Notamacropus eugenii: one gene and its partners. The protein of the gene in region 4 purifies or fractionates together with the protein of the main gene of each other region. This does not show direct contact. Links are inferred from orthologs where the notes say so. Each region holds a gene or a part of one and is shown on either strand. Other genes may lie near its edges.

Evidence for each region.
Region 1: the proteins of PRR3 (region 4) and DHX37 purify together in Homo sapiens (co-immunoprecipitation; 3 studies listed by BioGRID and IntAct, with this or other methods). This does not show direct contact. The link is inferred for Notamacropus eugenii from reciprocal best matches to the Homo sapiens genes PRR3 and DHX37.
Region 2: the proteins of PRR3 (region 4) and DAXX purify together in Homo sapiens (co-immunoprecipitation; 3 studies listed by BioGRID and IntAct, with this or other methods). This does not show direct contact. The link is inferred for Notamacropus eugenii from reciprocal best matches to the Homo sapiens genes PRR3 and DAXX.
Region 3: the proteins of PRR3 (region 4) and METTL17 purify together in Homo sapiens (co-immunoprecipitation; 3 studies listed by BioGRID and IntAct, with this or other methods). This does not show direct contact. The link is inferred for Notamacropus eugenii from reciprocal best matches to the Homo sapiens genes PRR3 and METTL17.

The regions. Positions count from the first base shown.
Region 1 is NC_092875.1:40,533,944-40,541,624, forward strand, and holds the start of DHX37 (probable ATP-dependent RNA helicase DHX37), read right to left. Parts: upstream 3,132-7,681; 5' UTR 3,026-3,131; coding exon 2,917-3,025; intron 151-2,916; coding exon 1-150. UniProt on the Homo sapiens protein: ATP-binding RNA helicase that plays a role in maturation of the small ribosomal subunit in ribosome biogenesis. Required for the release of the U3 snoRNP from pre-ribosomal particles.
Region 2 is NC_092873.1:89,342,398-89,350,692, forward strand, and holds the start of DAXX (death domain-associated protein 6), read right to left. Parts: upstream 3,111-8,295; 5' UTR 3,020-3,110; intron 2,173-3,019; exon of another isoform or gene 2,143-2,172; 5' UTR 2,127-2,142; coding exon 1,920-2,126; intron 1,748-1,919; coding exon 925-1,747; intron 809-924; coding exon 594-808; intron 414-593; coding exon 197-413; intron 47-196; coding exon 1-46. Other genes in the region: SMIM40 (small integral membrane protein 40), read right to left, coding at 5,161-5,403. UniProt on the Homo sapiens protein: Transcription corepressor known to repress transcriptional potential of several sumoylated transcription factors. Down-regulates basal and activated transcription.
Region 3 is NC_092878.1:12,958,848-12,966,086, forward strand, and holds the start of METTL17 (ribosome assembly protein METTL17, mitochondrial), read right to left. Parts: upstream 3,004-7,239; 5' UTR 2,948-3,003; coding exon 2,867-2,947; intron 1,587-2,866; coding exon 1,433-1,586; intron 1,344-1,432; coding exon 1,212-1,343; intron 1-1,211. UniProt on the Homo sapiens protein: Mitochondrial ribosome (mitoribosome) assembly factor. Binds at the interface of the head and body domains of the mitochondrial small ribosomal subunit (mt-SSU), occluding the mRNA channel and preventing compaction of the head domain towards the body.
Region 4 is NC_092873.1:84,447,494-84,454,707, reverse strand, and holds the start of PRR3 (proline-rich protein 3), read right to left. Parts: upstream 3,071-7,214; 5' UTR 2,837-3,070; coding exon 2,764-2,836; intron 1,055-2,763; coding exon 992-1,054; intron 788-991; coding exon 473-787; intron 230-472; coding exon 126-229; 3' UTR 1-125. Other genes in the region: GNL1 (guanine nucleotide-binding protein-like 1), read left to right, coding at 4,049-4,121, 4,590-4,752, 5,113-5,249, 5,353-5,504, 5,669-5,740, 6,486-6,693, 6,877-6,972.

The DNA of each region.
Region 1 (7,681 bases), on a different chromosome or scaffold from region 4:
GCTCCAACACCTTCTGGAGGAGCTTCTTCTCCTTCTTGGTCAGGGGTTTCTTCTCCTTCTTGACAGTGGGTGTGGCCTTCTTCTTCTTCTCCTTCCGTCCAGGCAGGACAAGCACGTTGCTCTCATCCACTCCTTTCCAAAGGCCCCTGTCTGGAAGGACACCCATGCCTGAGTCCTCCCAGACCACAGAGATCTCCAAGATCGAGCGGGCCAGCATGAACAGGCACAGGATGAGAAGAGCCAGAGTCCAGTGTTGCCCCAGGAGCCCAAGCATGCAGACAGCAAAGACGTGAATATCAGGAAGGATTTTATATGAGAAAAATCAATCATCCAATTATACCAGGACAACCTTATTTTCTTGTTTTGATGGAGCAACTAACTGGGCAGAGAGACCAAGGGAATGCTGGAGCTGGGGTTGACCTAGACTTTGGCAAAGCCTCAGATAAAGCAGCTCATGGAAAAAAGGAGAGGGGTGAGCTGGGAGACACCACACACTTAGGAGGACTTGGGGACTTGGGATTTGCTGAAGGGCTGGGCTCACCTGGGGGCCATTAATGGGAGGAATCCCACCTCTGACGCCTCCTACCCATTTACCCTTGGGTCCCTCTAGTATCAGCCCTTCATCCATAAATGGGCCCTACCAGCTCTAGGTGGAGGATCCCTAAGGCACGTAAGGTGGAGAGGATTCTGGGAAAGGGGGAAGAAGTTGTAGCTTTGCCACATTGCCCTTAGGAAGGAGGAAGCCTTCAATAGCCTCTCTAGGACAACAGCCCCTCAGAACATCACCATTTTTAGGACTTCAACTAAGAGCAGCTTGAGGGCAGGGGGCTGCTTTTTGCGTAACCCAGTACTTGGCATGGCACATAGTAGGTGCTTAATAAATTTCTGTGGATTGATTGTGACCTCTGAGATCAGTGCACCTCATTCACCTTTATAACACAGAGCCTTAAGGTTTGCACAGCCCTTCACAAGGATCTCATCTGATCCTCACAATTCTGGGATGCAGGTGCTTTCATTATCCTCATTTACACCTGAAGAAACTGAGGTAGGCAGAGGTTAAATGGTGTGCTCAGTCGCACAGCTACTGTGTCAGAGGCCAGATTTGGACTCAGCCTTTTCAAACCCAGCATTCCATCCACTGCGCTACCTCCATACATATACAAAAGCACCTATCTGTGTGTATACATTCTTCTGCTATTGTTTCAGTCTGTGTCTGATTCTTCATAACCCCATTTGGGATTTTCTTGGCAAAGATTCTGGAGTGTTTTGCCATTTCCTTTTCCAGCTGATTTGAAGGATGAGGAAACGGAGCAAACAGGTTAAAGTGACTTGTCCAGGCTCACACAGCTAGTGTCTGATGGTGGACATGAACTCAGGTCTTCCTGACTCCAGGCCCAGTGACCTATCTGCTGAGACATGTGTGTATATACGCACACATATAATATATGCAAGCACACATGTGCATGTGTATATACATGTGTATGCATCTGTACAGTATGCACAATACACGCCCTCATATATGCAGGCACATGTATACATGTATGCAAATATGCATACAAATATACATACATCTTCAAATACAGGCTTCAGGTTCAGAAATAACCCTCACACAAGTATGGGACAGGGAAAAATATTAGGAGAACAATTTGAGTAAGACAAAATGAGATTTTCAGGGTGTATAGGTGCACAGTCAAGCCAGCTGTGTGAGGCTGATCAGCACTCCAGGATGGCCATCTCAGGCTACCTTATGAGGCCAGGACCACAAACTGATAGAGGAGAACGATCTCTGTTCTCTGTCTGGTGAGGCTGATCTAGAGCAAGGTGGTCCATTCTAGGTACCTCACTTTGGGGACAGTGGTGACCACAGGAAGAGGGGCTGGGACAATGTTCAGACCAGAATCTTGGACCTAGGGGAGGCAAAAGATTCTGTTGAACAAGGAGAAAAGACTAGGGGGAGAAGAGAGGAAGGGGGAGAGACAGTAATGAAGGGATTTGTGACAGCAAACCTCCAAGGTTGTTTAGGAGGGGAATGAAGGAAGACTTGTTTTGTCTGGTCCTGGAAGGAATGAGAGAAAGATGCAGAGACAAACATCTGGGCTTAAAAAGGGGGAAAACTGTGAGTGCCTCATGGTAGAGGCTGCTCAGAGCCGGTCTTGTATGTTGTACAAAGAGATTCCTGAACTAACTGGGATGGGGGGGGGGCACCGGGGCTCAATGGAAAGTCCTTTAGTCAATTAACTACCATTTAAGTGCCTACTATGTACCAGGTATTGGGGAATACAAGGAAAGCCAAAAGACATCCCATGCTGACAGCCTAAAGAATATCAGATCTGGCCTCAGGACTTAGATTCAAACCCCAGCAGGGCCACTTCTGTATTCTGGGCAAGCCCACCTCACCTCTCTGGCCTCAGTTTCCTCATCTGTCAAATGACAGGGCTGGATCCATGACCTCTAAGACGTCTTCTAGATCTAAAGCTACGATCCCAGGATCTCCTCCAACTCTGAGAATTCGTGATTCTGGGAGCCCAAAGCCGTGTGGACACCTAAGTGGTCACTGGGATGGTCAGGGTGGCTCGGAGAGGGGACTGGTCCAGGGTCACAAGGAGCTGATAGCAAATACCGACAGCCCTCACCCCCCACCCCCACCCCTCCAGGCAGGACAGACAGCTGAGCATCCGCACCCCCATCTCACAGAGGAGCAGCCTGAGGCCAGCCTCGGGACACGGGCTCCGGAGCCCCATTCTGCAGGTCAGTAAACGGAGGCCCGGAGAAGGGAAGCGGGGTAAGCCGAGGCTGGGTGGCTGCTGGTTAGAGAGGCCTTTTTTTTTAACCCATTAATCATGATTGAACAACCGGAGGCTGGGAGGGGAGGGCTGCTCCTGGAAGCCCGAGGTTCGGAGAAGGGAAGGCCCTTACCGTCCAGCTCCAGCTGCACCTGCACCCCCGGCCGCTCCGGCTCGGACCCCGCCGGCGGCTGCGGCTGCTGCCGCCCTTTGACGTTGTATCGCCGCCGCAGCCTCCCCATGGCGCCGGCTCTCAGACCCGCAGCCCCGGCGGCCGCGGCAGACACAACAGCCGCGGAGACCACGCACGTGCGGGCGGTGCTGGCCCCGGAGCGCACGAGACTTCCGCCTCCAGATCTCGCGAGAGCCGCCTGGAGGGGGTGGGAGGAGGAGAAGGGGCGGTGCCTAAACTCCAGGTGGAAACTGACGAGGAAGGGAGGGGAGGGAGGAGCGTGAAGGGCTGGGGGCGGGACGAACACTCAGGAATGCACCCGGGCCCAGGGAGGAGGGGAAAACAGGCCCCCTGGGGGGCTGCCTTTAAGTTCTAACCGTGCAGGAAGCCTTTCCCAAGCTTCTTCATTCCAGTGCCTTCCTTCTGCTCATTACTTATTGGTTGGTTGTTGTCCTTGGTTCTCGAAGAGGACCAAAATGACCTCACCGTGATATACTTGCTGTGTGTGTGTGTGTGTGTGTGTGTGTGTGTGTGTGTGTGTATACACACACACATATATATGTATATATACACACATATACATATATACACACATATATATATACACACATATATACGTATATATACACACATATACATATATACACACATATATATACATATATATACACACATATACATATATACACACATATACATATATACACACATATATACGTATATATACACACATATACATATATACACACATATATATACGTATATATACACGCATATACATATATACACACATATACATATATACACACATATATACGTATATATATACACACATATACATATATACACACATATACATATATACACACACATATATACGTATATATACACACATATACATATATACACACATATATATACGTATATATACGTATATATATACACACATATACATATATACACACATATATATGTATATATATACACACATATACATATATACACACATATATATACGTATATATACACACATATACATATATACACACATATACATATATACACACATATACGTATATATACACACATATACATATATACACACATATACATATATACACACATATACATATATACACACATATATATACGTATATATACACATATATATACGTATATATACACACATATACATATATACACACATATACATATATACACACATATATATACGTATATATACACACATATACATATATACACACACATATACATATATACACACATATATACATATATACACACATATACATATATACACACATATACATATATACACATACATACATACATACATACATACATACATACATACATATATATGTTTTCTTGTTAGATTGTTGGTTTCTTGAGGGCAGGCTGGGCTTTTGCCTTGTTTTGTATATCTAGCACAATTCTTGGAGCATATTTGTTTTTCTGTAGTTTCAGTCTTAGCCAGCTCTTCATGATCCCATTTAAAGTTTCTTATCAAAGATGCTGGACTGGTTTGCCATTTCTTTCTCCTTCTAGCACTGTGTTCATCCTTCGTTTTCCAAGAAGACCACGCCATCAGAGAAATGATGACATGACTTGCACTTGACTTTGTTTTGAGTGAGGGAGGACTGTGCAGGTCACCAGCCTCACTTCTCCTCCAGAGCCATCTGAATCCAGTGATTCATCCGGATGACTGGAGACAGCCCAGTATACAATGGGAGACCTTGACTTTTTTAGGCTGGGCCTTTTCAGTATTTACTTGGGGGGAGGTAAGACCCATTGAGTAGATAGGCCTCTTTAAGAAGTGGTCAGGGAATGACCCTTGTAATGAGGGAAAGAAAAAGTAACTGGGAGGGAAACAGAACCTGTTACTATTGATAATCACTCTTAAGCCCACCATTAAGTGGAGCTTGGGCAGGGACCTATTGTTGTGGAACCTATGGGCTTCCAAATGCACTGGGTTTAAGGTTTGGCAGAAAAGGAAGGAAGGAAGGAAGGTAGGAAGGAAGGAAGGGAGGAAGGGAGAGACATCTGGCCACTAAACCCAAAGGAAAAGAAGAGGGAGACAGAAGGGAGAGTGTGAGCTGGGTTACATAGTAGGCACTTAAATGTTGATTGATTGACCCAGCTATATCACTACTAGGCCTATACACTCAAAGAAATCAAAGCAGGAGTTAGTGGCTGTAAATGTGTAAATATATTTATGGTGGCTCTTTTTTTGTAGAGGCAAAGGACTAGAAACTAGGGGGAGAGGGGTGCCCATCAATTACTATGTTCAACTATTTGTGACCCCATTTGGGGTTTTCTTGGCAGAGATACTGGAGTGATTTGCCATTTCCTTCTCCAAATCCTTTTACAGATGAGGAAACTGAGGCAACCAGGGCTAAATGATTTGCCCAGGATCACACAGCCACTAAATGTCTGACACCAGATTTGAACTCAGGAAGATGACTCCAGGCCCAGCACTCTACCCACTGTGCCACCTAGCTGCCCATCAATTAGAGAAATGGCTAACAAATTATGGTATATGAATATAATGGAATATCATTTCACCCTGAGGGACATTCTAGGGTTTCAGAGAAACCTAAGAAGATTTGTATAAACTGATGAAGTGAAGTGAGCAGAAGCCAATTTACAAAATAACAACATCAAGGCAATGAAAACTGATTCCAGAGAACTGATGATGAAGCATGCTACCAATGTCTTGACAGAGAGGCTTCAAAATGTAGAATAGATAAATTTTTAGACATGGGAATTTGTTTTGCTTCACCATAGATACTTAGGAGGGTTGTTGTTTTTTTTTTTTAACTATTTTTCGGACAGGATAGAGAAAAAGTAATGCTGGTTAATTAAAAAACAAGATAAAAATTAAAAAAAAAAAAAGGGCAGGGGAAGTGACCTTGGAAACCATGTAGTCTTCAGGAAGGAAAATGAGTCCCAGAGAGGTTAGGTCACTAGCCCAAAGTCACACAGGGCAGGGGATTCAATCCATATCTGTTGACCTCTCTCCACTAAGGACAATGGTTTGCAATTTGTCTTTGGCTTCCATCCCCAGAATCCTTTCAAGACTTCAGTTTCCCTATCTGTAAAATGAAACAATTATTCTTATCATCTCTTCCTCCTGAAAAAAAAATGTTACTTGATTCTCAAAACAACTGTGACAGAGAATAGGCAGGTTTTGTTTCCATTTTTTCGATTCTACATTTATTAAGCAGTATGAGAACATTAGTTTGTATATAAACCTCCAAGGTTCATAAAATGTTTTGCACACAATCTCTCATTTGAGATAGAATGAATCAATTTCATCTTGGATACATTCTAGCTCAAACCACTGGCAAGCCATCTAACCTCGGATGCCTCAGGCAACTCTCTTGAAGAATTCAGATGAGTTGCAGATCTGCTAGGGGGTAGGAGGATGTTTCATACCCAGAGTTTCCTGGTGTAAAATATGTAAAATCACAGGGTCCAGACCCATTCCACCTTAGGGACCTTACTGGCCCCTACCTCCTTTAAAAAAAGTGAAAGGAACTCACTGTCTTACAAGAGGAAGAGGAAACTGGATTAATAGAAAGGATAACAGGTTCAGGACCCAGATTTCCTGATTCCTCTTCTATCTAGCAAAGTATTGGAAGATTTTAACATTTCACCAGGAGGCCAGGCAGGCAACGATCTCCAGTATGCAGTTGAGTTTGCTTTGAATGGGCACAGCTAGGGTAAGGGGACACCCAAAGGTATTTTGAACTCTGATTTTGAAGGCAGCTAGGTGGTGTAATACTGGAAACGGAAATTACAAACCACTCTGGTATCTTTACCAACAACCCCCATGGACAATGTTGTCATGATATCATCCATCCGGTCAGGAAGAGGGACACAGCTCAACAACCAGACAGCAACAAGGTGGTATCATGAATAGAGAACTGAGACCTGGGACTTAGTAAGGTCTTTCTCAAAATACCACCAGGGATGATGCCTCTGTGGTTTCTGGCAAGTCACATGATGTTTTGAAGCCTCTATTTATTCTTCTGTTAAGTGAAGGAGTTGGATAAGATAATCTGTGAGGTTCCTTTCAACTCCCAACCTATTATCCTATGTCCCCAAAACAAAATTTACTATCTTCGTCCCAGGATGCATTTCTCTCCTGAACTTCCTTATTTTGACAGGAGTATCACTATGCTTCTAGTCACTTAAGTAAGTCATTTTTGACTCTGCCTCCTCTTGACCTGAAAGTTTGGTTAAAGGAGGCAAACAAATTAGGTGATATGTAAATTTATAGTTTATTCCCTTAAAGTTAGTCTAAGCTAATGAGCTTGTATGTACAAAGAGACAAAATGTAAGTTCTGACTGTTTGAGACAAGAATGACCAGGCTTAAATACATTTTAGAACAATCTCAACTCAGCATGTCTGTGTCACTCACATTTATGATCTCCATATATAATTAACCATATTATGAGAAAGGAACTTTCTTAATTGAATAAGTGGTAAATACAATGAGATAAGGGAATTGACAAAGTGTCAACTGAAATTATGACCCAGGACATCTGTGTTTTCTAACATGCCATGATGTAGTATATATCCACAAAATATAAAGATATAGAAAAAGTGCTATTATTCCAGATAGTGTCTCGGGTTAAAGGGCTCCTAGACAGAGAAAATAAGCCCATCTGGCTTTGTTGACATAGGAAGAGATATTCT
Region 2 (8,295 bases), about 4.9 Mb from region 4:
TCAGCAGTCCTCTGCAATGGAGATTGAGAAGCTACATATTTCTTACCTGAAAGTTGTAAAAAACAAACAGGAGGCAGGGTTAGTATGGAAAGTGGTTAACAGTAGGAAGAAAATGGGAGTGCAAGATGGGAAACTGAATATGGAGGGAGAAAACAACTTGGGAATGGTACTTGGGAATGGCATCCTCACATAATACCTGGCTCATCTTCCTCCCCTGGGCCCTCCTGGCTCTCTTCCATCTCTTCCTCTGAATCGGTGAGCTCCTCATCTTCATCTTCATCCTCTTCCTCCTCTTCATCTTCATCATCATCATCATCATCTTCATCTTCATCCTCCTCCTCCTCCTCCTCCTCTTCATCTGTCTCAACTTTGGAGACAGTGGGGCAGGATGTGGACTTTTCTCCACTAGGGCCCTGCAAGAGAGGGAAGGCCTTTAATGAAACCATTCTCCTAAATCTTTATTCTCCTGAGTATTTCACCTCCCACAACCAGTTACTCTCTTCCCCACAGATTCCCTGTATAAGACCTGGGCAGGATTCAGTCCTTCAGAAATATCTGATCTGACATTGGCATCCCCTGTCCTGCCTCCATACCTCTCCCGAGTCTGTGGATGCTGTTGGAAGGTCTTCATTGTGAGGAGAGTTTCCTTGGCAAAACCGGGCTCTCCTTCTCTGTCTCTCACCCTCTTCACTCTCATCTTGCATCATTGCATATTTAGAGATCACTTCATCCAGCCGACTGAGTGCCAAGTTTCTGTTCTCCCGAAGCCTACGAGCCAGGACAGGGTCTGACAATGCAGGGTCAATGCCTGAGGTAGGAGGGAGGTGTGCAGTGTGAAGACATGGAACCAGAACGCCTAGCTCCAAAGCCTAAGGAGTAACACCCTCCCCACAGGTCTAGTGTGTGTGGCCCCACTCCCTGTACCTGGCCTATAGTCATCTGTGAGGTGACAGCCAAAGTTGTAGACAAGATCAAGATGGCGCCGCTCCTGTAACTTGGTGCCAACATCTCGAAAGGCATCCTGAGCGAGAAGCTGGAGCTGTCGCCTTGGGAGGCAGAGGCCATGTCTCGTGGCTGCCTTCTCCACAGCCCGAAGGACATCCCCATAGTCAGGAAAGGTGTCTGGACCAGGCCTATTGATGAGACGCTCCACACGGCGGTTGACCTCTGGGTATCGAGTGCCCCGATAGGGTATCCGTTGCTCAGTCACACGGCCTGTCAGGGAGCTACATGCTTTTAACTCACACAGACGCCCAAAGAGTCCTAGCAGCTTGCGTTTCAGCCGCCCCTCCTGCAAATATGCAGAGTCCGGGTCATCTAGCTCCGATAGGTCCAGCTCCTTTTCTTGTAGTCGTTTTATCTCTCCCACGTACAATGCCAGCAGCTGCTCTAAGCGCTGGATCTGTCTCCGTGAACCTCGGGGTCGTGGGGAGCCAGGAGCAGTTTCATTGGTAGGGGCAGGGTTGGAGGAAGGATTGGCAGGAGGTGCATCCCCAGGGGGCTCAGTGGAAGCAGGGGTCAGGGGCACCTTCCTTTTGATCGAGTGCGCTTTGAGCAGTGTACAAAGCTCATTAATGAAGACATAGAGCTTGGTAGGCCGGGTTTGGGCACGAGAGAGGACACGAGACAGCACATTTCGGAGCTCAGCTGAGGCCAGGAACGTAGGACGAGCACGTTGCCTTCGGTTACAGAGGTATGGGACGACCTCAGGGTGTTCTCCAGTTTGCTTCTTACACAGATCAAGAAACTGGGGTGGAGCAGGGGAGGGTGAAGGGGGAAGTCCGAGGGATTGGAGGAAATGAAACAAGGGAGAAGGTTGAGAAAAACAGAAAGATAGAGTTAGTAGGACAAAGTGATTAAGGACAGCTTCTTTGGCTCCCCCTCCCTGGTGCATAAGAACCTTCTCCCCTGCAGCTCACCTCTTCAAACAGCTTCTCATTCTCCAGCTGGTAGCATTTCTTGCTGCCCCCACTACTGCTGCTGCCTTCCCCACTGGACTGGGGAGAATCAGAGGTTGCTGCCAGGGGTTGGGCCTGATTTGGGGGTGGAGAGGAAGGCCCTGGCTGGGCAGCTGCTTCATCCTCCTCCTCATCATCCAGTACGATAATGCTGTTAGCGGCAGCCATGGGGGGAGCGAAGCCCCTGGTGGGGGTGTTGGGGATTTCAGGAATCCTGCTGGGGGGGATGGGGCCTCAGAGACAGCCCCTCCAGGACATCCCCCCCATTCTCACACCTTATAGCATCAGTCTCACGTTACTCAATAGATGCCTGCTCCCCCCTCCCCTGCTCATTGCCTACCCAAGGATTTCTCGGTCTGACCTCCCTGTCGTGAGAGTGTCTAGTCCTCTGAGACAAGGCTGACTCCACAAGCTTTCTCCAAGGCCCCCAACCTCCTCCCCACCCCAAAACTCTAAAGTCCCACCCATTTGGCTCCAACCCTCAATCCTCTCCCCTCCACTTCCGGTCCCATCTTCTCTGCTGCCAGCCACCAGGATCTTATTCTTTCTTAAAACATCAGCCCTGTGTCAGGCACCAGCAGGGCTGCCATCCTTGCCCTCCGTGCGGCCCATCTCACACCCGTTAAAGACCGATTCTCTCTGCTCCGCTCCTCAAATCTTCATTCACCCAGCCTCTCTGTCTGCCTGTCTGTCCTCGCCTCTCCCTTCGGGGCTGTCAGCAGCGCAGCAGTCCCGGGGCTTTCCTTGGGCACGGGCCCGGCGGACGCTTCCTCCTGTCCTCATGGTCCCCGCTCACGGCCCCCTCGCCGGACCGCAGAAGCCCCTAGCCAAGCCCCCCCGTAGGCGCTTCTGGGCCCCCGCCCCCCCATTCTCGCACTCACTCCCATACACATACACACACACACATATATATATACATGCGCGCGCGCCCCCGTGCGCGCACGCGCTTCCTCCTCAAGGGAGAGTCTCCGGCCGCCTTCCCCCTCTCCCCACCCCAGCCTTGTCACCGGGTCCTCCCCTCAGACTCTTCCCTCCTCCCGCCTGCCTCGTGAGGCCCCCACCTCAGAAACAGTCCCTACGCCGCGGCCGCCGCCTCCACCGTCGCTGTCCGTCCCTCCCCCCTCCCCCTTGCCCCCCGCTCCGTCACCCTCAGCTCTCCCTCTCCCTCTCTCTCACACTCTCCGCCCCCCCTCCCGCGTCAGACAACGCGCAGGAACGGAAGCGATCATGTCTCAGCCCCGCCCCGTACGTCCCTGGGCGCCGCCATCCCACCCTAATGGAGTCAACCGAGGGATATAGGAAGTGACGACACACAAACTACCTGCTGGATCCCTCTGCGGGAGACGGACTGCAAGTCTCCCGGTGGTTTCATTGGCCCACTCCGACCAAATGCCTCAGAGGGGAGGGCTTCTCTGAGGCCTGAGGACTCGGAAGTCCTTGAGGGGAAAGGGGGGGCCATCTTGCCGTACGGCATTCCTCAAGACTGAGGGAACCCAATCTAATCGAGGCCAGGCAGTGGGGAATGGATATACCTCCGGGGATTTGCCAACCCGTGGTCACGAGATGGAACCCTTGCTCCACCAATCAGACACCGGCGTCCCTCTGCTCTCCCTATCGTTTGCCCAATAGCGCTCCCAAACTAGTATTGGCGGGTGGGAGGGTGCATGGAGGGGGGCGGGGAGATCACTGTAGTGGACCGTTCGGTCCATTGCGGGGAGGAACCGTCTGTCCCAGGCCTGCCAGAAGGACTTAGGCGAGCTACGAAGGGAAAGTTTTCTTCCAAGGCTTATATTGCTGTCTGACCCTGCCTCCACCTCTGGTGCGTGCCCAGGCCACTCCGACCTTCCAAACCGCCTCTTGGAGCCCCAAGAACCGGCCTGGGGGCTGCGGGTTCTGTGAATCGGGATTATTCCTCTCCGTACGGAATGTGTGCGCGTAAGTAATCATTCTCTCCACCGCTCAGGAGAGTCATGTAAACAGTAGCGATCTCGAACCTTGGGGGCCGAAGAGCAAAACGCCGACTCAGCGTCAGTGCCCTCAAAGGTCACCGTGGCAACCCAGGGACGGGAGAGCTGGCCCCGCACACCCGGCGCTGCGGCTTACCTGCCGTACCGCAAGATGGCGGCCTCCAGGGCGTGGGGATGCGCCCGTCTCGCCTTGCGGGGTGGGGGCGGGGAGCTCTTGCTTCAGACTCTCTCTTCATCTGGGGGTCCCGGGGCTGGAGGGGACCGCCCTGTGGGAATGGCCGGTGGACCCTGAGCACTTAGTGATGATGGGGAAGGTGAAGGGCGTCCAGAGTCCAAGACTGGAAACGAGGCTTTTAAAAAACCAATGGCCTCTTTCTGCCTGGGCGAGTGGGGGGGAGAGAAGAGGAAAGGAGCGGAGGCTGACGCTTCTCACAGAACCCCAGCTTTATTGGGGGGAGTGGGGAGGCCGGGGGGACACAGGACTGGTCCTGGCGCGTGTTCTGGTCCCTGGCGGGGGAGAAAGCAGGGTTAACAAGACTGGGGCAGCGGGGGCGCCCCCTCCTACCTCCCACGGAGCCTGGGTATGTCCCCCTCTTTCTTCAAGTGTCCTAGCTACGGAGGAGCCCTGGGCTCTAGTTCTGCTTCAGCTCGAATGTCTTCCCCTCTTTGGGACTCAGTTTCCTCCTTTATAAAGTAGCAGGTGAACTAGATCATCCGAGGAAGCTGGGTGTCGCAGAGGACCGAATGCTGGGCCTGAGTTCAAGTCCTGCCCCGCACACTCGTGGGCAAGCTGTTTAAAACCTGCCTGCCTTAATTTCTTCCTACTTAAAATAGGGGCCGTAATAGAACCTCTCACCTCCCAGGGGTATAATCAGGAACAAATGAGATAATATTTGCAAAGCACTTTGTAAACCTCCAAGTTCTCTGTAAATACTAGTTATTATTATTAGCTCCCCTTCCATGAGGGGCTCCCAGCTGTCAGCCCTCCACCCAGGGCTCTTCCAAACTTTTTCATCTTTGGAGCCTCCCATGGCCCTCCCCTCCCCCCACCTTGTCAGAAACTTGTCTGATATCTTACAGAAGCAATGGGAGCCGTTCACTGTGAGCTCCCTCTTCTCTCTTCCTTTCCTGTTATTCTCTACTCCTTTACCACCGTCTCACATGATTCCTCCCAGGAAACCTCAATCTCTGGTCCTGTTTCTCACCTGAGTTGAGAGGGAGGAGTCATTCAGTGATTACAGCTCCAGTTCCTCTTCTCTTTGAGGTGTTCCAAGCAGCCAGCCCCAGAGGTTTGCCCAGGGTATTGGCCACAGCAACTTGTAGGCAGCCTCTAGCATCAGCACTGCCAGGAAGAGGGCAAGAAAAATGAAAAAGGCCCTATCTAGTGCCCGAAGAAAGGGGCCCCTGGGAGGAGTAGGTCCCTGGGCAAATGCCAAGAACACATCTCCCTCATCCGTATCGCCCTCCTCCTCTGCCATCCTGACTTGAAAGCCTTAACAGCTGAGCAGATCACGCTGTACAGGATGGAGACACTGGCTCAGCACTACTTGGATTAGTGGTAATTTAGGGGGGAAGGAGTTTTCTTGTTGCATCTATCCTCTGTGACCTAATTCTCCAGAGACAGAAATAATAACTATAACATATAGCCCTTTAAAGTTTTCAAAGTGATTTACATATATTAGTATGCAGTCTTAGAAGGAGTAGACTATTAGACTGAATCATTCAATCACAAGTGTAAACTATAGGTATATTAATCAATTTGAAAGAATTGTAGGACTGATCATTGGATGAAGACAGATAAATGACATCACACTGGAAAAACCTGTGTTTATAGAAATAGAAATATACCTGGGACCCTAGTTGTAGAAGAGTTACAATCCTGTGGATTCAAGTTTTATCCAAACCTGTAAGAGGGAATTGCGCTACCTATTAACCATGGTATTGTAAAGATGTTATTGGATCAATAATAGAGTTTATCCAGCTACTAGGCCAGTAGCAGAGAGTACATATGGCAGGGAGGCATCAAAGACCATAAAACTCTCATGGCAGAGAGAACTGACCAGCTATTAATTCTATAAGTCACTGACCTTCCAAGCCCAACAGATGCTGCTACTCCTCAAGAGAACTTCGTGAAGATTCTTTGAAAGAAGAACCAGACTACTACTAACCAGGAATCTTGAATTACCCCTTTGCCATGTGTGCCTCACACCCTTTGTGCTTTACATTTCTACCTGCTCTATCCATCAATCTTGTGTGTTTTTGTTGGGGAGTATACCCAGAGGTGGGGGGGGGGGGATTTTTTTTCCCCAGCTACCATTCTTGCCACTGTATTTCAAGTCTATACCATCATAGTAAATACCTTCATTAAAAATTATTTTGAGGACATTAGAGGATTATCAATGGGAAGCACATCAGTGGGGGCTCCTGAGCTAGAAACTCACTTCCTCACAGCTACCCCTAAGACACTGAAAGTGGTAGATAGTCACTCCGGGAATTCAGCTGGCCAATATAAATGAGAATTGGGGAAATGGCCAGAGGGAGTGTTGCCCATACATTTGAGACATGCCACAACCCTTAAGATAGGCCCACTTTACAGATGATGAAATAAGGCTCAGAGAGCCTTATTATTATTGACTTACCCACAGTTACACAGATGCTGAGTATGACCAGAAACAAAAAAATTTCCTGATTCCAAAGTCTGGCTGCATCTGTTATACCTCCAGGAACTAAAGGCTTTTCATTCTGACATGTAAACAGTCCCAAATGCCCATGGTGCAAGGGCTACCTGTACTGACACCACATTGACTGTACTACTTGATCAGGAAAATCCTTACTCGGGAGACTGAAATTGGCAGCTGGGCCCCTGCACCATTCCTCTTTCCTGCCATTACCTCAAAAATATGCAACAACTTCTAAATCCCAAGTCTGCCCAAATAGGTCTATGAGCGAAGGAAGCACTGAATCCTCTTCCTGTGTGTAAGCGTAGGTGTTCCTGCAGACCTAAACTTCTTCTCGTATTTGAGAATTCTGGGGTACTGGTTTTCATAGAAACAAACCTATGGAATGTCAGAGCTGGAAGAGACTTCAGCAATAATCTAGCGTAAGGAAGGAGGAGACTTAGGCTCACCGAGGGGGCGTGACTTGTTCCACAAGGTCTCACAGTGAGTTTGTCAGTTTATAAAATTGTTAATGATATGACAGTTAATAAGAAATAATTTTGAAGAATTGTTTTGGGAGTAATTAAATCTTGGTATCAGTAAATGAATATCTAATCCAAAAAGTCAATATTAATACATCTTTTCATTTTAGGAAAGGAGGAAAGAGATGTTAGAAATTTCCTTTTTAACTGAAGAGTTACATGCACTAGTGGGGCAGTTAGGTGGTGCAGTGGATAGAGCAGGATAGAGCAGGTGAGTTCAAATCTCACCTCAGACACTTGACACTCACTAGCTGTGCGACCTTGGCCAAGTCACTTAACCTCAATTGCCTCATCCTGGGTCATCTCCAGTCATCCTGATGAATATCTGCTCACAGGATTCAGATGGCTCTGGAGGAGAAGTGAGGCTGGTGATCTGCACATCCTTCCCTCAGTCAAAACAAAGTCAAGTGCAAGTCATGTCATCATTTCTCTGATGGCATGGTCTTCTTTGGCAGCAAAGGACAAACATACACATGCAAATAATCTCTCTGCCATAGGATCTTCCCTTTACTAGGGCACTGGAGGAAGATAGGTGAGTGGGATAGGTGAATACTTCTTAGTAACATGGCCAGATTAAGCAGGTCTAAGTTTCCTTTTCCCTAAAGTGACATGATTAATAGAAACCCGAAATTTATGAAACCCAAGACCCAAGTGCCACCTCAGCCCACGCAATCCAAAAACGATTATGAATTTTGCTTGAAATCTGTATTGGCTGAACTTCTGTTTCCTTGTTCCGTGTAAGGGGATTAGTTTTCCGTGTTTAGATTGTAAGCCTGACCCCCAGTCAATGGGGGGAAAAGGGTCAGCTGTTGGGGGGGGTGGTTTGGGGGAGTTTCCGTGTTAGAAGTATATAACCACACTTTTGCCTTCTGTAAGCTGCTTCTCCCTGACTGCTGGTCGGATTGGAGTGGCCCTTTCTCTTGAGATTGTAATAAAATTCTTTTCTACTTTCTGCCTTGAATGTCAAGTAAAGTGTTAACTTTAATTTGGGTAAGGGTTTCTGTACCACACATAAGTGAGCATTAAAGTCCATGTGCCTTCCAGAGGTATTGTAACTACTTTATGTACTGAGAAAGTAAAATTGATTCCATTTCTTAATTCTGTTTTTGTAATTCTGTTTGTAGTTGATTTTATTCCATATTTTGTGTAACTACCTAAGACGCTTTCTTTG
Region 3 (7,239 bases), on a different chromosome or scaffold from region 4:
CGCTCTACTAGTTGTGTGAACTTGGGCAAGTCACTTAACCCAATTTGTCTCAGTTCCTTATCTGTAAAATAAGCTGGAGAAAGAAATGGTAAACCACTCTAGTATCTTTGTCAAGAAAATCCTAAATGAGGTCACAAGGGTCAGACATGGTTAACAACAGCAATAAACAAAGTATAGCATATGAATGTAATGGAATATTATTGTGCTGTAAGAAATAACCAAATGGACAGTTTTAGAGGAAACTGGGAAAAGCTCTACGAATTGATGCAGAGTAATGTGGGCAAAACTAGAAAGATTTATATGACAAGAACACTGTATAGAAAAATAACTCTGAAAGACTTTAGAGTTCTGACAAAATGATAAACTGTGAGTCCAAAGAAGAAGAGATGAAACATATCACTTATCTCCTGCCAGAACTGATGGACTTAAAACGTAAATGAGATGTACATTTTTGGCTTTGGTCAATGTGGGAATCTGTTTTGCTGGACTCTGCATGGCCATCATGAGGATTTAAAAAAAAAAACTCCATAATGGAGTGTGAGGTATGGGAGAGCTAACGCTCACAAAATCAACTCATTAATTAATTAAAAGAAATAGCTGTTCATCAACACTGAGGCAAGTAACAATGTGTGGCAGATCATAACTCAAGTCTGAAATCACTGATACTTCTTTCTGCATTTGTCCTGAAGGAAAGTGTGCTGGGAAATCAAGAATGTCATAACTGTGCGAAAACACTACTGGAAGCTAGTTCAAATCTAGGTTAAGTCATGGGTGTGACAGAGGAATGTGTGTGGGTGGGATTTCATTCTTCAGTACAACCTGGGAAGGTTCAACACATTTCCTGATCATTCCTGATCCAGATCATTCTAAAGGAAGAGAGAAAGGTCTGGATATCCAGGCATCCCCTGGTATGTGATGTACAACAGAATCAAAGATGTATGATACTAGTATAGTAATGTGTTTATCAATTACCAAGTGTTCTGCACATATATTTCTCATTAGGTCTTCAGACTGAATACTTGTAATAAGTCATATGGGTATTAAATAATTCCCATTTTACAGATACATCTAACTTCTGGCTGTAAAGCGTTATTTATGACTGATTTCACCAAAGACATATTGGAAGATTAAATATCTGTCTGTAAAGTTGAATCTTTGCTCTCTGAATCAGTCCAACCTGGCTTCTTCCTTCGGCTCATCTAAGCCTTTACCTGTATCCTGGAGTTTATTTTCCAGCTCTACTGCTTTTCTGCGCAGCTCCTCAGGTTCCATAGGAAGCTTCCGACTCCAGAGGTAGTTGGTGAGTGTCTGAACTTGCTTCTCTATGTTGGGCAGAGAGCTTTCTGTGGGTCAGACATGAAAAGGGGCTATCAGTGAAATGAAAATTCCTTTCTTTTCTCTGCTTATTTTCTTGATCAAGAGAGTTGCTCACCCTGCAAGAGCCTCTGGGCTGCAGTGACCAGGGCTTGTGGCAGCTGCACTTGGGACAAATGGAGGACCCCTGGATGTTTGCGGTGGGCTCTCTTCCCCAGGAAATCCAATATATCATTCTCCTGGGACACTCTGGGACCAAGGTCGGCAAGCGTCTGAGGTCCAGAAAGAGGAAAACCGAATGAGGTTAAGTTGGCGAAGGAGGAAATCTGGGTAATAACAGCTCACTTTTTATGATACTTTAGGATTTTGAGGAATGTTTTATGTGCATTATTTCATTTGACAAAAGCTCGGCACAGCACAGACTGAGACTTCTTAAACTGCTAGTCCAGAGGCACGTTCTGGAGGATGGCAGCATGGCAAGGTAGAAGGGATCCCACACCTGTCCTTTATTACCTACAAACTCTTTGTAAAGCCAGTGGTTTGAGGTAGATATCCTCTAAGACCTCCTTCTAAATCTGCTTCAGGACAGGCATCTCCTCCAGGGATGGGGGGTTCTCTTGGCTTGGGGAGTGGGGTTGTCCCCCCAAAGGCTGGCACCTCAAACGTGAAGCCAGTGGCTTGAGGTAGATATCCTCTAAGACCTCCTTCTAAATCTGCTTCAGGACAGGCGTCTCCTCCAGGGATGGGGGGTTGTCTTGGCTTGGGGAGTGGGGTTGTCCCCCCAAAGGCTGGCACCTCAAACGTGAAGCCAGTGGCTTGAGGTAGATATCCTCTAAGACCTCCTTCTAAATCTGCTTCAGGACAGATGTCTCCTCCAGGGATGGGGGGTTCTCTTGGCTTGGGGAGTGGGGTTGTCCCCCCAAAGGCTGGCACCTCAAACGTGAAGCCAGTGGCTTGAGGTAGATATCCTCTAAGACCTCCTTCTAAATCTGCTTCAGGACAGACGTCTCCTCCAGGGATGGGGGGTTCTCTTGGGTTGGGGAGTGGGGTTCTCCCCCCAAAGGTTGATGCACAGCTGCCCAAGGATTCGGCCCACCCCACATGCTCAACAAGTGACTGCCCTGGGTCCGAGAAGGCCTCGCTGTGGGTGAGAACGCCTGGAATGAGCAGGGCTGATGGATTCTGACTGGGGGCTGCTTCTCTGGGCCCAGGAAGCCCGGACAGCCTGGATCAGACTGGGTGCAGCCGCAGGCTCTGGCCTCGTTCGGCCCCTCTGGCCTCGTACACGTGGAGAACGCATCTACATATATTTGCATATTTGATTCCCAGACTCCCACTCTCCTTTCTCTCTCCCCGCCCTCCCCCCCGCTTTCATCTTCCCTTTTTCTTTTCTATCCCATCCTCTGCCTCGCTCTTCCTGTCTCCGTCCCTCTAGGACTGTGTCGTGTGCGATCACAGACACGCGTGGGGATGGGGCGGGTGGGCTCCCCCTCAAAGGCCTTCCCGACGCGACCGAGCAAGGCTGTTTTCAGGAGCGGACCAAAGTTCTCACCCGGAACAACGGGGTTCCCGCCGGCGAGCAGCTCCACCTTCCCACCCACGGCAGCGGCCTCAGCCTTCTGGTGGCCGCCATGACTCCTGAGGCGAACCGGAAGCGGAATTGGAGACGCCCGTGACCCTCCGGGGTTACCTAACTCTTCCACATCCTCCAGAAGAGCTGGACACGTCATCAACCAATCGGGACAGGACGATGATTTCTAGGGGCCAATCGGCGGTCTCTATGTAAATTTATGGTGACGCAAGAATGTTTTCCCTGGTGAGAAGATGGACACGTGTCAGATTTAGCCAATGGGAAGAAAGCGCAGCGTGCGCGAGGGTCTCAGGGGGAGGCAGTCTTTGGCCCTGTGTCAGTTTCTTGCAGGAGTGTTTTTTTTTTTTTTTTAAAACCTCTGCGGTTACAGTATTGGTTTGTTCGTTACATTCAGGATGACGTCATCCAGCATCTCTTCTGAAGTTTTACATGAACAGATTGTATAACAAAACGGTACTCCCTTGCAAATGCTGTAGAATCACCAGAATGCTGTTTTAAAACAGTGGCCCCTGAGTCATCCTGTCCAAACCAAAAATGATTGCCTAATTAGCAAGAAAGCACGTGGTTAGTTTTAATTAGTACAAGTTAATTTGGTTTGGTTTGGGAAGGGAAAAATATTTGATAAAACTAGGTGGTCTTGTAAACATTTTACCTTTAAGACCAAATTTTAAGTGTATTTATCACAACTGAAATATAAAAAACCCTACTAGGAAAAACATTTCTCTTTAAAAAAGACTGCATATACTTTTGTTTAGAACTGGCTTTTAAATAAAATCTGGAAATCTGGATTTACATAGTTAGAAATGGTCCCAAATAGAAATTTCATGTTTCCCAAAGACTGGTCTTCATCCTATATATAAGTCTACTTAGTTTAGTATGTCCAGTGCCAAAGATTAATGTGTTAGTCTTATTTTTCAGTTCACGTTTTTGAGGCACGTTCTGAGCTGTTTTGAAACGTGAGGATTTATAAACATAACTTCAGTTACATAGTAATAAAGTTATAAATGTATAAAATCCCCACATAAAGATTAGAAAATGCACCCTTCTGTTGGTCTTTCAAGGATGGAATTTTAGTATGTTTTACTCAAATAATTCCATGCTGCAAATTTATTTCTTTTATTTTTCCACTTGGCCAATATTGTAATTGGATAGAATACTTCATCATTGTCAAATCTGGGTTTATTAACTTTTGCTTTCCAACTGAGAAAAAACATTGTTTCTATAAAACTTTTATTACTGTATCATGAGTATGCAGATCAAAGCTTTTTAATTGGCTAACTATATGAAAAGATGACCCAAGTGGATATACAGAAGCAAAGATGAGCTTCCCCTTAAAAAGAAAAAAAAAATTTTCAAGAGCACCTATGAAAAAAATGATACTAATTAAAAATATCCAGTGTGACAACAAAGAGTCTCTCAGAGGCTGTTTTTTAGAGGAAAGGTGAAGTCAGCATCTAGTTGTTAATTGGAAAAAAAGAGTAATAATAAAGAATTGAATTTGTAAAGTCTTCTCATATGCACTTATCACCTTTGAGTGTTGCAGGAATTGTGAGATAGGATGAGTCACACTTATTTTGAAAAGAGGAATCTTGAGTATAGGTAAAGTTAAGTAACTTGCCCAAGGGTTTCTTCTCTGAGGTAGGTGTTAACTTCATAGTTTAGCACTCAGTGATTTCAAATCCTCCCCTTCCTCATTTTTCTCATTGCAAAGGAGGGAGAATGCAGTTCCAGGGAGAGTTAGGAAAAAAATGGCATGTGATTGAAGGACATAGAGGAGTGTACTGAACTAAAGTGTAGGCATTGTAACTGTTAAGTAGGGATTTTAATGGAAGGCACCAACCATCCTGCTTGCAATGAAAAGTGCACCATAGGACTTTGGACTTTATTACTACCGGGACATCCTTTTGTTAGTCACTTCCATTACTGATTCAGTTTCCTCATCTGTAAAATGATGAGATTGAAAAAAATGATCTGTGAAGACCCTCTGCTTTCTTGTTTCTTGCTTCTGTTAGTGAACAAGCATGTATTAAGTGCCCAATATGTGCTAAAGACTGGGGATACAAAGGCAAAAATGGTTCCTACTCAAGGAGCTGGGGAGACAACATGTAAACCACTATGTGCCAAAAGAAGATATAAACAGAATAAATTGGAGATGATCAACAGGGGTGAAGCACTAAGGTATTAAGAGGAATTGGAAAAGCCTTCTCATAGAAGGTGGAATTTTAGCTGGAACTTGAAGGAAGTCACAGGACAGAGATGTAGAGAAGAGTATTCCACGCTTGGGGGACAACCCATGAAAATGCCTGGAGTCAGGAGACAGACTGTCTTGTGAGAAGAACATCATGGAAGGCAGTCTCACTGGATTGAGGAGTACCTGGAGGGGAGTAAGGAATAAAGAGATTGGAAAAATAGGAAAGGTCTAGGTTATGAAGGGTTTTGAAAGTCAAATAGATGATTTTATACTTGATCCTGGACAGGATAGGGAGTCAGTTTATTGAAAGAGAGAGAATGGCATGGTCATACCTGTGTTTTAGGAAGATCAATTGGATAGCTGAGTGGAGAATGGACTGGAGTGGGGAGAGACTTAAAGCAGGGAGATCATGCAGTAGGCTATGTCAATAGTCCAAGAGGGAAGTGTTAAATGCCTGTATCAAGATGGTGGCAGTGTTGGAGGACAGAAGGGGGATATATGAAAGGTGTTATGAAGGTAGAATTGACAATATTTGGCAAACAGATTAAGTATGGAGGGTTCCCTAGGATTGTGAGTGTGAATAACTGGAAGGATAGTATTATCCTTGGAGATGCAAGACTGCAGGTTAGGAGAGAGATTAGGGCTGGATAAGTAGATCTGGGAATCATCAATACAGAGATGATAATTGAATCCATGGGAGCTGATGAGATCACCAAATGAAAGTGTATAGAGTGAAAACAGAAAAGAGCCAAGGATAGAGCCTTAGGGGATACCCCTGGTTAGTGTATATAACATGGAATGAAGATCCAGCAAATGAGGTTGAAAAATAATGGTCAGGTGAGTAGGAGAACCATAAGATCACCAAGTTAGCAATATCAAGAAAAACTAGAGAGCAGAGGGTATCAAGGAGAAAAAGGGGATGGGCAGCGTCAAAGGTTGCAGAGGACTCAAGAAGGATGAAGATTGCCACCCTAGTTCTCATACTGATCTGGTACTAAGAAGAGTGGTATGGGATCTTTTCCCCACCAACATCATAGCTGGGGCAAATGAAGCAGAGAAAAAGGGCTGAGGATGGGGTAGCTATAAGATGGGCAGCTAGGTGATGCATTGAATAGAGTGCTAGGTCTGGAGTCATGAAGAGCTGAGTTCAAATCCATCCTCAGACCCTTCCTAGCTGTGTGACCTTAGGCAAGTCACTTCACCTTGTTTGCCTCAGTTTCCTCATCTATGAAATGAGCTGGAGAAGGAAATGGAAAACCACTCCAGTATCTTTGCCAAGAAAACCCCAAATGGAACCATGAGGAGTTGGATATGACTGAAACAACTGAGCAACAAAGGGAGAAAAGTCTTTGCCTAGAATAATGCAATATCTCCACGGGAAATTTTAGACCTAAATCCATGTGCCCCTGGCTCCCAGCCTGGGGCATTGTCTATTTCACTGCTCTGAGAAAAATACCCTTCTTACTTGGTCATGGATCAAAGACATACCAAGTGTATATTTAACACTAAGCACTGCACACAGTGCATAGTACGTAGTAAATGTTCAATAAATATTTATTGATGATGATGATAAAATGAGGTCTCCAAGTCTCAGGGGGTGACCTCTACATCTCTTTGCATGGAGAAGTCCGGATAGGGACTGATCAGATCCACACTCCCCTGGAAGCGGCATAACATAAACCCTCATAACATTTTACCTGCAGAAACAATTCATACTCTAGTAATTCTCCAATATTTATGCACCCATATTCTATACTATAATTAATCTTCTGAGGATCCATATTTTAAGAGGAATGTGGATAAACTAGAGAATGTTCAGAGAAGAGAAAAAAGTTTTTGACAAAGGAGTGTGAGTGTGTGTGTGTGTGTGTGTGTGTGTGTGTGTGATTAGGTGAATTAACAATCAATGGTTATTTCACAATGAATAGTGACTAACCAACTGTGTTTAGTGTTCTGAGGAACTATTCTTTGCTGAAAAGGTGAGAAGAAATGTTGAACATTATAGTTAGATATAAAGAGTTTTCCAATAGTTAAATTGGAACAAGTTTGTAAGGGAATTCTAGAAGAGTTCATATCTTCTTCCTTTGAGTCAGAACTGCTCTGCCTAAAATTAGAAGACCTCTGGAGGTTCTGCCAGCCTCAG
Region 4 (7,214 bases):
AGGCTCCTTCCTTGGCCAGAGATGCTGGGCACAAACACCTCAGAGAAGCCAACGAAGAACAATAGGGCAATGGGCTTCCAGGATAGAAAAGGTCCACTGGAGCCTGACTGGTGGAAGGCACAGTTTTACAATGGAGGTCCATTCACTCCTGGGTGGTAGAAGGCACAAAGATCCTCATAGCGACAGTGGCCCTTTGAGAAATGTCTGCAGACAGGGCGGTTGGATTTATCTGTGGAAGTGAGAAAAAGGCAGTGTAAGACTTTGGGAAGACAAAAACTAGGACACCTCTGGGATCCTGAAGGGAAACAGTTTAATAACTGCTATAGTCTTCAGCATCCTAGGATAATGTTTTGAGAGAGGAAAATTGAGAGGTACCTTCAAGGTAAAGACAGAAGGGCTTCTGGGATTTGTACTTCTGGATGTAATTATGTGCTACTAACAGGAATAAAATATACAGGGTGATGGCACTAACCTGTTCTATCACCTTCCTGGACTCCATCCTTGAATTGAGGGGCGTTCTTGGGCCAGGGGATGTTCTTAGATGGATGGTGACTATTGCCCCCTCCAAGGTTTCTCCATCCATTGGGAGGACCATTCCTGGCATGGTCCCCATAGCCTGTTCCCCACCTAGGTTCTGGATCCTCATAGGCCCAACGGCTATGTGGGTATGGTCTAGGCCTGGGTCCTGGGCCCCCTCTCATTGGGCATCCTCCCCAGAAAGGAAGTGGAAGGCTCAGGAGTGGGGGAATCACTGGTCCCCTTAAACTCTGAGGGCCTCTGTGGAAGCCTAAAGAAAGACAATGAAAGATAATCAATTGAATCCAGGAAAACCCAGAAATTATTTTTCTTCTTGAGTCTCATTCCCCACTTCTCCCAATCCCCCAAACCTCTTTCCTACAGGAAATGCTGAAGTGCCTTGCATGTAATATGCACTTAATGTGTTAATCCAAATCAATCTAGACACCTGTCCTTTTAGACCCTTTCCACTCACCTGGATCAGGGCCACCAAACTTCCCATTGGCTATGGGTGGAGGGCCCAGGAGGCTGGGTGGACCTAAGAGAACAGGAAGAAATAGGTTAAGCAAAACGTAGCAAGGTCTAACTTAGTAAAGTCCAGTTTACACAACAACTCAGTACTATTTTTACTGAGTTCTCCTTTCTTTGTGCTACTACACCTACAACTCAATAGCACATGGTTATACAAACAGTTCAAATCTTATTTTCCCTCTACTACTAGCAAGCACTTAAGGGCCTACTACTATCTATGTGAAAGGAATTATCCATAGTATAAAGACTAGATGAAAAAGTCTCCGCCCTTCAGATGTTTACTTTCTGTGGATACATACAGAATCAAAATGATGGCCTGAAGCAAAATGTATCATGCTTTAGTAGAATCCAAAAAAGCAAAATCTGTTATCAAGATGTCGAAAAAGAAACGAGAAAAACCAAAGGTACCAAATGGCACAGCCTTCAATCAAAGGAAGGCTGACAATAAAGCAAAGAGACCTCAACATGTTTTCCTTAGTATGAGTCTCCTTTTGTTATCATCCATTAGCCAAAATTTAAGAAATGCTTTTCATGCCACAGGAACTATGGATACCAAACACATGGGGAGTAGTAGCTAGGGAAGGAAGTTTTTGATTTAGACAGTCAGTAAGACTGTCAAGCCCAAAGCAGCCCTGATGACACTGACTGAGTTACTGGACAAGTACCCCAAACAAGATGTGAAGGGGAGAGAGACAGACAAAATGACAGGTGGCAAACCTGTGACAAAATTCTTCCTCCTAGGCCCTCGATTAATGGGGTGTGGGGCCACCAGAGCTGAAGAAGACGACTCACCCTCCAAAGTAAGCAGATCTACCCAAGTCCCAAAACGAACCCTTCCTTATAAATCTCTGGCCTTCCTGGGAATTCCTAGCAACCTTCTCCTAACTCTCATCTAATTTGATGGACTTCTCTCTTCGCCATCCCCTAGTCCTCATTTCAGTTGGGAGAGGTCTAGAAACATTTGCATTGATATGAAGTGTGGGAAATCATTTAGCCCACTCCCTACACAATCCAACACAGATGAGGCAAATGAGACCTTTCTGCACAAATTTGCAGGTAGTCAACAGCACGGGTTAGAACTCCCGACTCCTCATACAAAGCTCATTCATTACTAGCTCTTCTCATTCCCATCATCTTGAACTACCAAACTTTATTTTATTCTGGATCTGTCTCACCCTTGGGGCTGACAAAGAGGACCAGAAGAGACAATGGGGGAAGGGTAGGAAAACTGGCTTTTACAAATTCTCTCCCAATTACAATGGGTAGGAGTGGGAAGGCGAGGGAGAAAGAGGATGCAGTTGCCCGGGCAAACTGCTTTTATTCGTCTACGTCAGAGGCTCTGGGCAACATCTTTAGGCCGGCGCTCTCATGGACTTTTCCCGGCCGATGCTCCGGACGCACCACTCCCCTATTCCCCCAAGGCACGTGCATCGGCCTCCCCCTCCCTTCCTCCCGTTCGCGGGCGCGCCACAGCACCCGGGTCGGCGCATGTGCGCGCTTATACTTCTAGCTCTCCCTGCCCTGCAGTCCTTAAAAAAGGAAGGGGAATTCTGCTCTCGCCAAGCCTCGCCTCGCGCTATTCTACGGGAAGATGCAACGGGTTCTTTCCCTTTCGGGCAGCACTAATCTCGCCTTCTCCCTCCACGCCCGAGGGATCTTTATTTGTCTCGTGCCCCTGTGCCAGGCCTTCCTCAGGCGCATGCAACTCTCCCTTACCAGCGGGGCTCCCACTCTCCTCATCCCCACTCTCCTCGGGGTCCGGTGGCCGCTGCTTCCCCCTCTTGGGCATCACAGCCAGCGTAATAGCAACGATCAGAGTCGGGCCGGTGGGAGCAGGGGGCGGTATATGGAGGGAGAGAGAATCCGATTATTTCCGCTTCCGGCAGACCCATCCAGAAGCGGCGAGTGCGCAGGCGCGTGCCTTTCCCACCGTGTAGCGTTCCAATGTAAGCTCACACTCCAACCCTCCCTTCCTCCTCACCCCCTTCCCCCCTCCTACCTAAGGGAAAAAAAAACCGACATCACTTGGAGGCGTAGCCTAGAGTGGAGAGGACCGCGGTCCAGAGCGTTGGGACAGGGGGGAGAAAGAAGTCAAGCAGCGTGGTAACCTCGGTAACCTCCCACAGCCCACGCCGCCGCTTCATGACCTCTGACCTCCCCCCCAGCATCCTTAGACCATCTCAGTCTCAGTGCCTCTTAATTACAACCTTTTAAACATCGCGATTATGTGGCCTACTCCCACCCAAGTTTTGGGGTTTTTTTTAACTTCCACTAGGTGCGGTGTCTCGTGGCTCCTCTGAACATGACCTCTGACCTTCTCTGAAGGGATCTCCAGGGCAACCTAGTACTTCATCATTCTTTCCTCTCTCCCCTCCCCCCCTTTCCTTTCAGCTTTGTTCAGCCTCCTTGCTCGTCCAGGTCACTTTAGTTTAGCTTTATGCTCTTCCCCACCTCACAAGTGGTAGAGTCCATTCACCCCACCAGGTGAGTGGGTAGAGTCTCTCCAGGAACGAAAGGTAAGGATGGTTCCCTCGCCCCCTTTCTCCGAATGGGAATTGGTATCGCCCGTGACGAAGTCAGTACCGTCGGTCGGCGCTCCGGCGCGGCTCCCTCTTCCACACCCCCAAGAACCGCCCCCCTCCCTCCCCGGGACTCCTGAGGGACTGGCGTGTGGCCGGCACGTCGCGCGTCTCTCTGTCCTTGCACTTTCTTCAGCCTCACACACACTCTTGTACTACTGGAGGGAAGTGATTGAACTTCCCCACCCAAATTACATCGGTGGCCCTTTCTGTGTTCCCCTACCCACAACGCACTCCCCCCTCCCCGAGGAGGAGAGACTTGGTCTGACCCTCCGCGTGACGTCACGTCGGAGCCCCGCCCCCAAGGGTCCCGGGCCCTACGCGGCTGGGGTAGCCCGGGGCGGGGGGGGTGTCGGTAGAAGCGAAACGACGGCGGCTGGAGCCCGCAGAGGGCTAGAGATCCACGGGAGCCAGGCCGGGCCATGCCGAGGAAGAAGCCTTTCAGCGTGAAGCAGAAGAAGAAACAGCTGCAGGACAAGCGCGAGAGGAAACGAGGTAAGGGAGGGAGGGAGCGGAGGGGGGCGGGGCCTGAGTCTCCTGTACATCTGGAGACAGGGATGAACTCTACATCTGGGGCCAGGGTGGAAGGTGGCGGGCAAAGCCAGCCGTTTCCCATCGAAAGGAGAAAGAAGAAAGAACCTCCCACCTCCCCCTCATCTGGAAGAGGAGGGAGTGGACGGAGAGCCCTTGTCCGAATCTGGAGAAGAGGAGGATCCCTTTAGTTGGAAGAAGAGGGGGCCCCGTATCTGACGAAATGGATGCTGGAGATGGGAAAGAACTGGCTTCTCCCTTCTGGTCCTGGGAGGCTTCTGTTCTGGGTGTGGAGAAGGACAGAGAAACTGGGTCCAGAGGCAGAACACTTGGGTCGATGTGGGGGCAGAAGCTGGGTTACCAGGGGAGAGCTGGACGAGTCAGACGCGGGCGCCCGTGTCTGAGAGCTGGGCGTCATGTGCCTGCCTGCAGGGCTGCAGGATGGGTTACGCTCCAGCTCCAACAGCCGCAGCGGGAGCCGGGAGCGGAGGGAGGACCAGACGGACACCTCTGATGGAGAATCTGTGACCCAGCAGATCCGGCGTCTCAACCAGCAGCCAACCCACGGCTCTGGCCTTCGCTTTGACCCCAATAGGTAAGGGTGGGGAACGCGGCACTTGGGATTTTCCCTCATTGTCTTTCTTGGCAGTAAAGGAGGGTAGCGCGTAGGTGGAGGCCAGTGAAGTAGAAGGCTCAAGATAAACTGAGATAAAAACTCTGTAGGAAGGACTTTGGATTCCTTAGTTATCCTGAGGCAATTTGTTCGGATTTATTGGGAGAGGGTGGAGAAGAAAGATTTTATTTGTAGAAAAGGGGACTTTGGAGACAAGCAGAAGATTAAGATACCGGGATCCTTACCGAGAAAACATGCCTATAATTTTGAAGGGGAATCCGGAAAATGATGCCTTGTGGACACTCTGTACTAAGTTGAATACTTGGGTCATCATCTCCCCAGATACCGATTACACTTTGAAAGAGAAAGCCGGGAAGAGGTGGAACGGAGAAAGAGGGCTGCCCGAGAACAAGTGCTGAAACCAGTCAGTGAGAAGTCTCTGGAGCTTGACATTGGAGACATCTACCATCCAGGCTCCAGTAAGGATTGAGATGCAGGGGAGTAGAAGATGGGAGAAGGGAGACAGCTGGCCAAAAGTGGTGCTGAGAGCACCCATGCTTCCCTTCTTCTTTACTTTCTCAGACCTAGATTTTCCCCGTCGGCCCCCTTGGAACTATGAGATGTCCAGGGAGCAATTGATGAGCCAGGAGGAACGGAGCTTCCAAGAGTATCTGGGGAAGATCCATGGGTCCTATACCTCTGAGCAGCTCAGCTACTTTGAACACAATCTGGAGGTGAGATAAGAGCAGGGTATTATATCATCCACCTGAAGAGTTGGACTGTCCCTGAAGAAGGGGGAGTGACACATGGACCTTTGTGGAGTTGCTGGTGCATGGTTGCAAATTACCACTGATCTAGCAGCATAAGGGTCAGATTTTCCTCACCTATTTTCTTTTAGACCTGGCGACAGTTGTGGAGGGTGCTAGAGATGTCTGATATTGTCCTCCTCATCACAGACATACGCCATCCAGTAAGTGAGAGAAACCAAGCAAATGGGGCAATGGGTTGGTGAAAATTAAAAGGCAAGAGTTGGGGGGAGGGGTTAGGAAAAGATTTTTTCCTCACTTTTTAAACCTGAATTCCATAAGACAGGACTCTAGTCTTTTTCTATTTAACAGCTACTTTCTCAGCCAGTCCAACTACCTTTTGTAGCTTTGAAGGGTGGAACAAATTCAAGTGCTTCTCTAGGAACCAGCTAAGTAACTCTTGGGGACCCTCTGTTCACATCCCTTCCTTCCTTCCCAACACTTTCTCCCCTGCTCTGACTTTTCAGACTGCTGTGAATTAAACAGCAGCACTTCTCCAGTTGTAACTTCTTTCCAGTTTAAGAGTAAGGGCTTATTTATAGGTTTCTCTTTTGGTAAGAAATAAGAACTTTTCTATCCTCCATCCTGCCTCTGCTGTTTATCCAGTTTACCTGGTCTTCCTGTTTCACTTTTCCTATCCTCAGATGTCTCTCTCTTATTCTCTGTTGCTGACAAACTAGCCTTTCCTCCCCCAGAATACCATGTATTTCTTTCTCTCAAGTGTTCTTTTGGGATTTCTTTTGTTCTTTGCATATCTTTTACTTATTTGGTTTTATACTATCTTACAACTACAGAAGTTGATACCTGTAAAATCATTCCTAGTAGATCAGAGAGAGAGGAATTGAAGGTTCCTAGGTAACTTATTCTCATTCCTACTTCTTCATACCCTCTTTCCCCCATCCCCCGCAGGTCATCAACTTTCCTCCAGCCCTTTATGAGTATGTGACAGGGGAACTAGGGCTGTCACTGATACTAGTGCTGAACAAAGTAGACCTGGCTCCCCCAGCTCTTGCCATAGCCTGGAAGTATCACTTTCGCCTGCACTACCCCCGGCTCCACCTTGTTCTTTTCACATCTTTCCCTCGGGACCCCCAAACCCCACAGGATCCAAAGACTGGTGAGTGAAATTTGGAAAACATAGGGATATATGGGAGAACATATGAAGCCCTCTGAGGGACACAGTTACAGGGGCTTTATGGAATGGAGGTAGCAAACAGAGGTCAAGGATGATGGGTGGAGCAGGAGGAAGAGACAGGATCTGGCCCTCACTGTCCCTTCACCTCTCCCCTTCTATTTTCAGTCTTGAAGAAGCGCCGGAAACAAACAAGGGGCTGGACTCATGCCCTGGGACCAGAGCAGTTGCTAAGAGCTTGTGAGACCATTACTGCAGGAAAAGGTCTGAGTGTATATTTGAGGAAAGGCCTGAAGAGGGTTGGGGAGGGTCTGGGGTTCTTCCTTTGCCTCTTACCAGAAGTCAGCCTGTCAGTTATGACGTTTTTAGGAGAATCAAGGGTACTAGCAAAACTGACTAGAATATCTTCCACTGTCCAAGGTATATGTGAGCAGGTGGGGCCCTTGGGAGTTTTTTTTTCCTCCAGCAAAATCTTCTTGGTTCCTTTTTCTTTTGAAGGAGACTGG